2 linked regions of the Drosophila melanogaster genome follow. The protein of the gene in region 2 interacts with the protein of the main gene of each other region in a pairwise test. Each region holds a gene or a part of one and is shown on either strand. Other genes may lie near its edges.

What was found.
Region 1: the proteins of tj (region 2) and bsh interact in a two-hybrid assay, tested with the Drosophila melanogaster proteins (one large-scale study listed by BioGRID).

What each region holds. Positions count from the first base shown.
Region 1 is NT_033779.5:19,764,607-19,770,961, reverse strand, and holds bsh (brain-specific homeobox), read left to right. Parts: upstream 1-1,894; 5' UTR 1,895-2,032; coding exon 2,033-2,475; intron 2,476-2,947; coding exon 2,948-3,222; intron 3,223-3,611; coding exon 3,612-3,914; intron 3,915-4,333; coding exon 4,334-4,602; 3' UTR 4,603-5,186; downstream 5,187-6,355. UniProt on the Drosophila melanogaster protein: DNA binding protein that function as transcriptional activator. May play a role in the determination and function of cell types in the brain.
Region 2 is NT_033779.5:19,462,107-19,469,013, forward strand, and holds tj (traffic jam), read left to right. Parts: upstream 1-2,160; 5' UTR 2,161-2,649; coding exon 2,650-4,185; coding exon of another isoform or gene 4,186-4,317; 3' UTR 4,318-5,652; downstream 5,653-6,907.

The DNA of each region.
Region 1 (6,355 bases), 300 kb from region 2:
CTAGCGAGAAAAATCAATAAAAAACGCAAGGTAGACACGCCACCGAGCAGACTCAAAAAGAACTGAACAAAATATATGTCCTCACAAAGGCCCTTTGGCACGTTCATGTCAGCGGGTTAACAATGGATGACACCGAAGAGTAGTCCATGGAGGAGGAGGTGGATGTGGAGGCGGAGCAGCCAGTTAAGAGCTTTCGGCCAGGTGAGAGAAGTGCTCATCTCTGGCTGGGATACCTTTTTCCAGCTTTCCACTTCTATGGAGCTCTAAACTATATGTAACTATAGTCTCGAGATATTTTATTCTATTAATATTCTTTCTCTAAGATAAATATCAGTTTTTATTTCTCATATATGTAATAATAAATATATTTATAATAAATAATAAATAATAATAATAAATATATTTATTATTAAGGTATACAACCCTTAAATTAAAATTTAATTTAGATGGGATTTCATAAAATAGATTTATAGAAAATGAAAAGAATATTATAAAATAGATATTAAAAGAAAAACGTTGTCTTTTTAGGAACTATGAATCTTATATCTTTTTAATTTAATAATTTTAAAATTGGTAGAGCACTTCTGAAATTAGGTTATCACTTTTAAGTACTATTATTCTAATATCTTTTAAATACAATTAAATATTTTTATTCGTTAACACAAACCCCATAACCCCCCAATGTCCTTAGAGAAGCTGAGATATTTTTGCCCAGGAACAGGGCAGCACATCCCCAAGCAGACCCAACCATCACCGCGATCACTCGAATGCCATCCTAATGCGCCCATTTTAGGGCTTTAACCTAATAATGACGTTCGACTTAGTTTGCGTGACTTATTTTATTAATAAAACGAGCAAATTTGTCTTGCTTTTTGGTCGCATCGTCGTCATATGCTTTTTCTCTCTCGGCGATGTCTCGTTATTGTCCTTCCTTCCTGCTCTGTTTGTGGAGACCCCCCCCCCCCATATTTCCCTCTCTCTGAAGGAATTAAGGACTTTCCGCTGTGAGGAAAGACTGATTCTCAAAGCAACAGGACGAAACAGGACGAGTATAGTTGCGAAAGCAACCCCTCGGCGAGCTCTTCGCCGATTGGTGGCTTGCTGGAAAGGAGGCACGCCCCCTTTTTCGATGGTGTCACTTGGTTGGGTGCGGAGGGGGCCGGGTGTCCTTGGTGGGTGGTGTACGGCTATGTGGGGCTCTGATTCAATTAACCGCGCGGGGAAAAAATATCTGAATGCAAAGCAGGCGAATGCTTGGCCCCAACCCAGCGGGTACAGTTGCGCTGGCTCCACCTAGCAATTATCCTGTCACAGCAGCAGAATCGATTGTTTAATTCAATTATAATAATTGTGGCATTTAATGCACGCACATCATCAGCCAGACAGCCAACAATGGCGGCCGTGACACGTTAATTATGACAAGTGGGTGCCAAATGGGCGGCTGGGGACGTGGCAGGATGTGCCTGCCTCGCAAAATGGCGGCAGAGCAAGGACGCATAGTTGTGCAACTTATTTGCGGCTAACGGGGGTCAATTAAACTAAGGTTTTTCCGCACTAATCGCATGTCCAGTGGATGCCAGCAGAGAGATGGGTGCTCAAAATCCTGCCAGAGCAGGACAACCCTATGCGCATGCAAATCGAGGGGTGTGTTCATGTGCCCGCTTACGGGGATTCCCCGAATATTGCCGCTCTAAGCGGGCACCGCAAAGCGGGCCAACTGCAGCCGGATTGAGGAGGGGGTGGCACTGCCTGCGCTCGCATTTTTTCCCCCCCTTCGATTTTCCCCTTTTCGCAGGATGCAGGACCATATCGCCGGCTCGCTCGCACATGTCTGCTGGCAGCTCGTTTAGAGCAATTTGCTGGTTGATGTGCGGTGATTGCCGCAAACTCAACGCGACCGTCAACGAGCAAACAACATAAGCGCGCGCGCGGTCCAAGGACACGTATATATCCCGGCTGGCTGGCACATCTCCTGGCTCCGGTCTCCATCACTGCTCCTCGTGCTCCTCCTGCTCGGCCATCCTCCAGCGCAATGGCAATGCTTAATGAGGCCAGCTTGAGTCCTGCGGACGCACATGCTCATGCCAACGCCACCACGCCCACGCACAGCAAGGCGGCGGCGATGGCCAGTGCCACCACAATGCTGACCACAAAAACGCCGTTTTCCATCGAGCACATATTGTTTCAAAACTTAAATAGTGCCAGCAATAACAATAATAGTAGTGATACCAACGGCATCGCCGCAAACACCAACAACTACGCGCCAAAGAGCAGCAGAAACGCGGTGAAAAGTGCCAGAAGCGCATTTGCCCACGACAATAATCCGCACAAACATCCGTCGCAACATTCGCATCCGCCGCAGTCACATCCGCCGGCGTCCGCATCCGCATCCGCGACGGCTACTGCCCGCAGCAACCAGGCTGCGTCGGGTTACGCTGGCGAGGATTACGGCAAGTCCATGCACAGCACTCCACGGTTGGTTTCCGAATTCCAAGGCCTAATACTACTGCAGTGAAATTTTAGTTTAAAAAACTTTAATTTTAAGCCAATATAATTGCATAGAAAAGTGAAAAAAAGTAATTAAAATAAAAAAAAAATAAATAAAAAATAAGATAATATTAACAAAGTGAATTTATAAAAGAATAAGAAGTAAACATGAAACATCAAATACGATAGATAGTCACACCTTCTTGAAGACAAATATTTTGGAATAGCATACACCTTTAAAATCTTACTTTGGATTATGTTCTTTTAAATTATAGAATATTTTTTGTAAGAAAAATGATATTTTGGAAACATAGAAATCAGGCTTACCATAAAGCTTAATGTATCTGGGAATATATATTTGTATTTAAGCATATTAGCATAAAAATCACTATTGGACATAAAGAGAATAGTTTAACATCGAAATACCAATAGACCCCTAATTGAACCACTTGCTTCGTAGGTCCAACCACCACTCGCGACACGGAACTTCCCACTACAACGGAGATCAGATTTCGCAGCAGTTGGGATCTGGAGCAGCACAACATCCGCCGGTGCCCACGACTCAACCTCAACCTCCGCCTCCGCCGCCCCTGAATGGAGGTAGTGGTGCATCCAATGGAGTACTCTATCCGAATGCACCCTACACCGATCACGGATTTCTTCAAATGACCCTCGGATATCTCTCGCCGTCGTCGGGCACCTACAAGTCCGTGGATCCCTATTTTCTATCACAAGGTGAGTTAATGCTCGATATTACAGAGATATCCTCCTAGATGATTCTGATTTGTACTGGTACATACAAACATGTTGGTAATAAGTTAAAGTCGAACTCATAGAAATTAAAAGTCAATTCTAGCTAGAGTTTAGCTAATCGAAAATGAAGTTGGACATATTCTCATTAAAAAGCCAGCACAACATTTAATTTCACATTTAGAACTTTTTCAAAATGAAACCCAAATTAGTAGGACAACTGATGTTGAAGTGCAGTTTTTTGTTGCCACATAGCTTCATTTAGGGGCACTAAAACTCGAAATATTCGGTGTAAATGGCCATCAACACCGAAAGTTTTCATTTGTTCCAACTATAACGAAGTTAACCAAATTTTGCATCCTTTGCCCTTTCAGCCAGCCTGTTCGGGGGAGCGCCCTTCTTCGGAGCGCCTGGCTGTGTGCCGGAACTGGCCCTCGGACTGGGAATGGGCGTGAATGCCCTGCGCCACTGCCGCCGGAGGAAGGCTCGCACGGTGTTCAGTGATCCGCAGCTGTCCGGTCTGGAAAAGCGGTTCGAGGGACAGCGATACCTGTCCACGCCGGAGCGTGTGGAGCTGGCCACCGCCTTGGGACTCAGCGAGACGCAGGTGAAGACCTGGTTCCAGAACCGCCGCATGAAGCACAAAAAGCAGCTGCGCCGGCGCGACAATGCCAATGGTGAGTATATTGATTTCATAATCACAAATTTATTATGAGCAAATTAAATATTACGAAATTTATAATACTCAAATCAAGTTATTTAATATTCAAACCTTTTCTGGGCTGTTAAGAACAACTAGAGCGAAAAAGAGTTGCTCAAGTTTTCCAGCTTTTAGACAATGCAATATTTGAGTTAGCAATTAAATTGTCAAAAGGCATTTCGAGCAGGAGTGGTCAGCGGTTTTCAAATTGGTCACAAAGCACCAAAAACTAGACCACTGGAGTGAGTAGTTTCTTTGAGGAACTTTTGGACTATCAATTAGACCTTTTGGCTTTTAGCCGGCTCCTTGTGATGCAAAAAGTTTTGCTCAAGTTTCAACGCAAATCAAATTAGTTCTAAATTTTGTGGAAATTTCTTTGACTCTTCCATGCCGCAGAGCCCGTCGACTTCTCACGCAGCGAACCGGGCAAGCAGCCGGGCGAGGCCACCTCCTCATCCGGGGACTCCAAGCACGGCAAACTGAATCCCGGATCTGTCGGCGGCACACCCACTCAGCCGACGAGCGAGCAGCAGCTGCAGATGTGCCTGATGCAGCAGGGTTACTCCACGGATGACTACTCCGATCTGGAGGCGGACAGTGGCGACGAGGACAACTCCAGCGACGTGGACATCGTCGGCGATGCGAAACTCTACCAGTTAACATAGACAGTTCGATCGGGATGTGGACCTGGATCCTAAAGTAGTAAAGTTTTCGGTGTTTCAGTTGGGGGAAATACAACTAAAAGAGATTTTCAAATCAAAAAATATCAGTTTCTTTTACTAAATGACTTTTCTATTAGACAAGCACAGAAGTTACAAAACAACACATATATTATCAGCGCGAGCATGGTTATACCATTTTGAAAATATCTATTATTACGATTTAGTACGAACTATAGTTCCTTATAATTGTGGAAACTTACCCATCAGTTTCACCATTGAATTAATTGATTGATTATAACAGATACCATCCAGCTACTCTAGCTGTTTTGATCTTGTCCAAAAGAAACATATTTATTTTGCTATAATTATAGTTGTATTTCCCCCCAGATACATATTTGAATTGAATCGAAAAGCCGTGTAAATACCAACGAGTTCTTGAACGAGTTTTCTAGTCATGTATTAAGTCTAATAACTAATCAAATTTAGTGATTGTATTCGAGAACTTCCATTTTAAGATACATTAGTTCCCTGCGACTTCTTATCCAGAACATAGTGCTTACAATAAACGGAACGGAGCGAATTACGCGAATGCTGGAGAAGTGTTACTGGGTGGGTGGGTGGTGTAGCTTGATGCCCGCCCCCTCGCCGGGCAATCAAATCCAATTGACAACACAAAGTAGCAACTAATATGGTTAAGCAGCGGGAATACTGATGTATGGGGTTGGCGACTGCCACGCCCTGCGCATGTCCTGCCGCCCAAGTGGGCGGGCGGAAGCGGGTGGGATTGGATTGAATCGGGGTGGATGGAAATGCACTTAACAATGGCAAAATAATTGCGGGTTTTCAGACAGCCATTTTAGTGAGACACCCATTGTCAAGTGCGGAATAGAGTGAGGAGGTAAAAGTTAAATGTTTCAAATTGATTGGTAATTACGGGTTAGCAGGAATGCTCTCGAAAAAATATTAATAGTTTACCCGATTAAGAATGAGTCTTGGAGGGAATGGAGTTCCATATGCTTATATACATGTAGATACCTTTGCAGTCATCAAAACTCATGGATCTATTTGTTGAGAGAAGTTATCATTTTTAGTTTCATACTTTGGACTGTTAAGACTTTTCTTGACGTCAACGAAGCATATTCCAATTCTATTCTGGCGATTAAATGGCATATGTACATATGCTTGTTAATAATATGTATTTTTTTATATAAATTTCGAGTGTGTATTGAGTTATGCTCAACTTGGTAAACATGCGAATTAATAATATTCGGAATAATATACAACCTAAGGTCGAAGCAATGACAAGTCGCAGTCGCTTTAGCCACTTGTATTTTCCCAGTGAATACAGAAACTAATAAGTAGTACTCTTGGGCTTATCTTGCTATTGATAAGCTCAATGTGAAATAAACTGCTAGAGACGAGCCTCCCTCGATTTTAAGAGGTTGGCAATAAAAATCACAATAAATGTTTTGATTTTAGACTCTTAGTTAGTATAACTCGTATTCTCATGGACCATTTCACATCATACTTATTGTTTAAAATGTTCTCACAGTGAAGCATTTAACGATGGCATTTTCATCGGTAAGCCTGACCACTCTCCTCCGCTCTTCATATGTGGCTCCCTCTTAGTTTTGGAGCCATATGTCTGCAGCTTATGCTCCCCATCTGGACTTGGACTCTCTTCCACTCCGCTCTCTCTTCTATATACATTTTCCGTGTGTATGCTATTTACGTGCTATCAGTTGCCGTTGAAAAC
Region 2 (6,907 bases):
AATAATATATATTTTCCCGAATATGTAGCTATAGCCTTAATGTTACTGAAAATTATTGTTTGCTGAATATTATTACGGAAGAAAATTACAAAAATATTATTAAGCGCAGTGAATCAAATTTTAAACAACGCTCTAAATATTCTGTTGAATTTAATTATTTATAATGGAAGAAATCGTTTAAAATAGCTTTACATATGCTAGCCTTCTTGAGATCCCTATCTTTGTGGTTTTAAGTACCTCAGATCTTATGTCGCATATTTAACCAAAAAATATTCAAATTTTAAATTTGGTAATAGGAAAGGTGGATTGGCATTGCTAGCCCACATTTCCACATACTGCCCACCCCTCCTGGCGAACCAGAACTTGTTGCACAAACAAAGCAGAAGCCTTTCGATATCCCACAACAATATTACATCAGAGCAATCTGTTTGGCCAGCGAAGACAAAACATTTGCTCAAAACAAAAAGTCAGAAAAAAGGGGTTCAAATTAAAGTAAAACAAGAGCGCCCCGTGTCCAAGTTGGGCCGTCGGAGGCTCCTAAGTTCTGTACTCCGTTTCCGCTGGATCAGCATAAAAATGCACCTGTGCACCATGGAATCCTTTGGCCCAAGCAAACACACACATGCCCATGGAGTGGGCAGTGTATTATATACGAGCCAAAACAAATCGAGCGACTTATCTCGGCTAAAACATCTCCCATTGACTTATGCACTGGAAAATGGAACAGTGGACGTGGATGTGGACGTGGATATGGATGTGCCTGTGCTTGTGCGACCCACTCCTGCATATACTTTCCTATGTGGATATACATATGTATGTATGTACATATGGGCACATCCATCTCCACCTCCATCACCGACTTCGTGTGGATGGCCAGCCAAATGAGACTGGAAGTCGGCAAATGGGGCTATGCGGGAATTTCCGTGGTAGTTGCTCATAAATATTCAGACACCAACACACTCGCAGATGGGGAGAGCCACACCGACACACACACGCGCACACAGTGGCAAAGTGGGCGGAGTCGACGACAGCATAAAGTGTGTCTGTGTGTCTATGTGTGCCATTTTTTATGCGCTCCATGGCAATTCAAAAACGCAAACAATAAACCGAGCAGCAGAGCAGCCACACCAACGGTTCCATTCCACCACCAACAAAGTGAAATCCCAGAGCATAGATTTGTGCTCTTGCACAGTGGTCGAGGTATTGGGTATCAAGGGCTTACTGAAACATTACTTACGTGCTACATGTTCCGAAATTTAAACATTAAATAGCTCATCAGTATATATAAAATTTAATAATGTATATAGTATATAATAATGTATATAGCATAATGCATAAAATATGTTTTTCCATGTCCAATTATAAGGCAATGCAGTCAATTTTCTGGCTTGTTAAGTCGCTTTTTTAGACTGTTAACAACATCAACATATTTGTTATTGGTGAAGTAATGTTCTTTGACCAGAATGATTGTTAGTCAAGGGAAGCGATTTTAGCTAAGAATTGATTGAATTTCCACGAAAAGGTCTAAATTTCTTTAAAATACTTAAAAAAGAACGTGAAATTAATAGAATTTTGTATAGATATTCAAGTGTTGTAACATTTAAAGCAGATCAAAATATAATCGCTTTTTCAAAGTTCAAAGTTAGTCCTTTAGCTATAAAATATTGTATTTGATTTAGACAACTTAAACTTGTCAAAATGTACGAATGAAATTATTTTATATTTGCAATTTTTTATCCCACTGTGCAGTGCATCGAATCTACGAAGCTTTCCCGGCTTGACTTTTGTTGTTGTTGTGCGCGAGAGCAGCAGCTGCCGGCAAAAGCACAAACAACAACTACAACTACAACGAAAGGCACTCTCTCTCTCTTGCGGACAAGTGCCTCCCCGCCCTTTCGCCTCTTTCCTTCCTCTAGAACCGTCATTTCCACGTTTCCAACAGGAGTTCCCTCGCACCAAAAGCAAAAGCATCAGCGAATGGCGTTCGAGCTCGGTTTTGTTTGTTGTTGGGCTGGTCGGCTTTTTGGTTTTGGCAAGTCGTTTTGTTTGTCGGCTGTTGGGAAAAGGAATGGGTGTGTGTGTGTGGGTGTGCGCGCGCTGCGCTGCCATTCTAACAGTTATCATCAAGGGAACAGAGCATCCAGAGCAGAGCTTCCAGAGCAGAGCCACCCTCCAGTCAGATTCAGTCCGACCTTAGTTGAAACGGACACGGAGTTCAGTCGCCACCGTTAACTCTTTCACATTGGACGCGAAAAGCGCGTTCGCGAAATTAGTGAGCAAAATTGGAAAGAGAGCGAGCTTACAAATGAATTAAGCGCCAAAGTGCGGATAGTGATCGCTTTAATAAAAGCATACTTACATTTTAAATCATAAATAAGCAATCCAATCTTTTACAACGAAATCTAAGAAACCGGCATCGAAGTAAATATCTAACAGATTCTGGGGTAACCCCAAAAAAAAACGTAACCTAAATCCTGAGATCAAGATAAAACTTAGCCGCAGGCCGAAAGCGCCAGTGCCTGGTTCCGTGACCCCCGATCGCGTAGTTGACCTTTGAAACCACCCACTAACCACCACCCACCAATCAGCACGGTCACTCCCTTGCATGTGAGACCCGTAATCGACCCTCTCCGGTCCCTGGTCGATCCAATGAAAATGGAAGATCCCACCATAAACGACACGTACGTTCAGGAGTTTGATCTGCACCACCTGGAGGTGGGCGGAAATGGAGCTGGCCAATCGCATGGAGCCGGTGCCGCGTCCCAGGTCACGACTTTGGGCCATGTGAAGCGCGAGGATCACAGTCCACCGCAGCCGGTGGCGGTTAAATGGACGACAATCCACGGCGATCCCACGAATCCGGACGATGACCCGGACTCGCTGCCGCTGTCCGGACCAGAGCCCGCCGGAGCAGTGGAGGTCTCGCCATCGCCGCACATCAAGCTGAGGTCCTTCTCCGGCCATCACCAGTGGCACATGGACGAACGGCGCCTGCAACCGCTCTCTCCGCCACCAGAGCAGTATGGTCCGCTGCCCGGACAGGCGATTCTGGTGAACACATCTTCGGGAGCGGGCGTTCCGGGCGGAGTGCCCTCAACGCCGCCGGAAACGCCACCAGTAGTGGGCTCGCCCACGGGCAGCAGCAGCTGTCCGGCTCAGACTTACGCACACCACTATGCGAGGACACCGGGCAGCTCCGTATCCGTATCCGCCTCCGCCGCCGCCGCAGCTGCTGCCTCCGCCGGAGCAGCATCGGTGAGTGCCGGACTGAGCCATGACATGATGTGGCTGACCAACTCGATACGGGCGGACCAGCAGCCGCTGGATCTGCGGCCTTTGCCCTATCCGGGCTCCCAGGAGGAGGCGGAGGAGTGGGACAGACAGCGGGACTACGCCCTGCAGGCGGCGGCAGCTCATCACCACCATCACGGACAGCCGCTGATGCAGGCGCAGCATCATCCGCATGGACACGGCGGTCATCCCCACCAGGTGATGCTGCAGCAGAGCAAGTATCCGCACCACCATCACCACCACTTCCACAATCTGGAACTGACGCCCATCAACATGCACTCGAACTCGTACGGTAGTGCTTCGGGTGCCCTGACGCCCACCTGTCTGCCCCAAGTGCCCAGCAACGGGAGTGGCAGCAGCGGAGGCGGAGGAGGCAGTGGAAGCGGGAGTGGTGGACCCGGCAGCGTGGGTGGCGGCTCCTGCGTCATCACACGGGCTGCCCTTCAGCCGTGCCGCCCGCTCTCCGCCAGCTCGACCAGATCCTCGAACAACATGTCGCCCAGAACCTGTTCGGGTGCCTACAGTAATGCCACGCTGGAGGATTGCCTCAATGACGACATGCTGACCACGTTGACGGTGCGGGAGCTGAACAAGCGGCTCCATGGTTGCCCACGGGAGGAGGTAGTGCGTCTGAAGCAGAAGCGACGCACCCTGAAGAATCGCGGCTATGCCCAGAACTGCCGGTCCAAGCGACTCCATCAGCGCCACGAACTGGAGAAGGCCAACCGGGTGCTCAACCAGGATCTGCACCGCCTGAAGCTGGAGTACTCGAGGGTCTGCCAGGAGCGGGATGCCCTCATGCAGCGTCTGCAGCGGGCGGCAAATGGCGGAGTCGGTGCGGGAGGTGCAACCGCCGGCGGCGATAGCCAAAGCTCTCCGGAATTCTACCTCTGACGCCAGCTGGCGGTGGCCAGCGGCTCCTCCGCATCCTCATCCTCCTCCTCGCAGCAGCAGCAGCAGCACCCCCAGCAACTTCATCTCCAGCATCGGGGTCCACAGTGGAATCCCCAGCAGCTGGTCAACTAAGTAGAGAGCGTTCCGTGTTTAAGGTACTTTCACAAAGAGTTGATCATTTCCAAGAGCTTTTCCTAGACACAATGTATAAGGTAAATTGGTTTGATTCCAAGAATGTTTTCCAAATAGTCTCCACTCGAAAGAACATGTTTTCCAAAAAGAGTTTGTTAAAGCGTTTCCAAGGGGTTAGATGTCAGAATTCAAATTCTGTTTGTTATACATTCAAAATGATTTGTGTTATACCACGCGTTATTGTAAGTTTGTCCCTATTTTTGTGTATTCTTAAAAATAATTTAGTAACTAGGTTGGATTTTCAAGAGAAGTGCATTCCCATTACCACCACTGTTGATATTTATTCCCTCATTAATTTAAAAACATTTCCATTTAATCAATAATGCTGAAAAATTAGGCGGTTTCCGCAGAATTCTGTTTAGCTATGTTACTATGAAATTTATTAAAGGGGTTTTTAAGCGTTTAATTTGCCATTATTCTGATTGCGACAATAAATTCCGATGAATATCAGTTTGAGAACTTGGAAAGTGATCGACAGAGATTGAGATAGATGAGATAGAAAGTAAAGTGCGAGAGAGAGAGAGAGAGCGTGTTTGGATGGAACTTTTGCTGATTATCAGTTTGACTAAGGCAAAGATCGATTATAAATAAAACTAATTGGAACTCGTATGTATAAAGGACAAACATTGTATAAACCCAAGGAACAAAAACAAAAAGGTAAATTAACTAGCGGCTTCTGATTATCAATCGCTAAATTATTACAAAGTACGAGTTAGTAACACACGCTTATTTGTTGATTAGTTCTAGCCTTAGTTTCCCTACTAGTATTAAGCGAAACAGAAGCGAATTATAATATCATAGATGCGATAGTTGTTCTAGAGGCCGTGCTTCCCCTGCCGTTTCCGTTTTAGCCACACCGCCCGCAAAAATTCCAATCCTTCAGTAGCAATACATCTAATAAAACTAAAGGTTGTATTAAGTTAAAACACCGCAAGCTGGAAGAACCGATGTATAAAGTGAAACTGGATCGAAGCGAAGAACAAACTCAACTGAAGTAAACTAACAAACTAACAAAGTCCTATACAATTTAATGAGCACTGAAAATGATGATCGAAAATAATGTACATACACCCACACACTTACGTATAAAGATGAAAAGATGTAAATTTAAGATTTTTTGAATGCATTCAGATTTCTGTCTTTGTGGAACTAGAAGAAACACACGCGAATACTGAGCCGGAAAATTAAAGATTAATTACAAACTAAAAACAATTGTGAGTAGTTGATAAGTGTGCATAAAACAATTTAGTAATAAATAAATCTAAATTAATGAATAATCCTATGTGCGTTCTTTCTTGGGCGCTTCCCTGCCAGCCAAAAGGTTTGCAATCTAACTAGTAAACGTTAGATTTCAGTTTCAGTGCAACTGTAAACATTGATACGGATTAAAAGATTCATTGAATGCTCATGAACTGAGAGTTACGTTCGTTTCTTTGGATGCTTGATAGTTTAAACATTGAAGATCGTAAAAATATAGAATGCTCAGTTTTTCATAGTATTCAAATTGTATTCTATTTTGTCCCCATGCCACATTCATATTCATATCTGGGTTTTAGAAACCACCGAGTGGGTCTCAGCTTGCATCATAGATTTTGGGTTTCATCTCGCCGTTTTCCGAGAAGTGGCATCTTCTGTGTGGTCTGTCGGCATGGATAAATGGGCTTCCAGCGACGACGACCCCCGCGGGCAACAGTTTAAGAATCAAAATAAACACTTCGATCCCGATCCCTCTGGACTTCGATAAGTTATGTCAACAAACTTCGGTCGCGTAACGGCGCATGCAGGAGCTCTGGAGTAGTAGGAGCTCCAGCTGAAGTGCAGCATTGGGTTACAATCGTCCACATGGAGGAGATCAGCATCAGCCCCTAGGAGGGGGAGGGGGCGGTGTTGGAACTTTGGAGCAGTCCAGCATTCAGTTGGGGCGGCGTAATTCGGCAATAATCAGAGGGCCGTATCTACATATCTGCATTTTCAAACCGTAATAAATCCCTAATAAAAATCGTTTCCTTTGGCCTGTTTATTTTCATTTCAATTTCGATTCACTTTTGCGGTGTCGCCTCGCTACGCTTTTTTCAGAATCTGAATTTGTTATTTTTATTTTGATTATATGAGTTTCCTGCCCTACCAAGAACCCAAATCTCTTAGGAGCTTATGTAACCAGACGAAACCACTCGATCGAAGAGTTGCGCAAGTATTTTTGATGAAATTCGGGTTTTTTGTTTTGGCCCAAGTGATGGCGATCGCCATCAAGTGGACATTTTTCTTTGATTTCTTTTGCCCTTTACTTATTTTTTTTCTAGCTTAATTCTCGGCCAGCAGGAAGTTTCGGATTTCGCTTTTTCCGAGCATGCAATAAAAATTGAAATAACTGTGGCCGAAATTGGAATCAAGCGACTGGCTGGATTGGAAAAGACTTTGATTCAAATATATATACAATTTCTTATCGAAATCATTCAGAGGTAAATAATATAAATTAAAGAACAAATATTGCATCCAATGAAAGACAATGTACATACATATGTATCTTTTC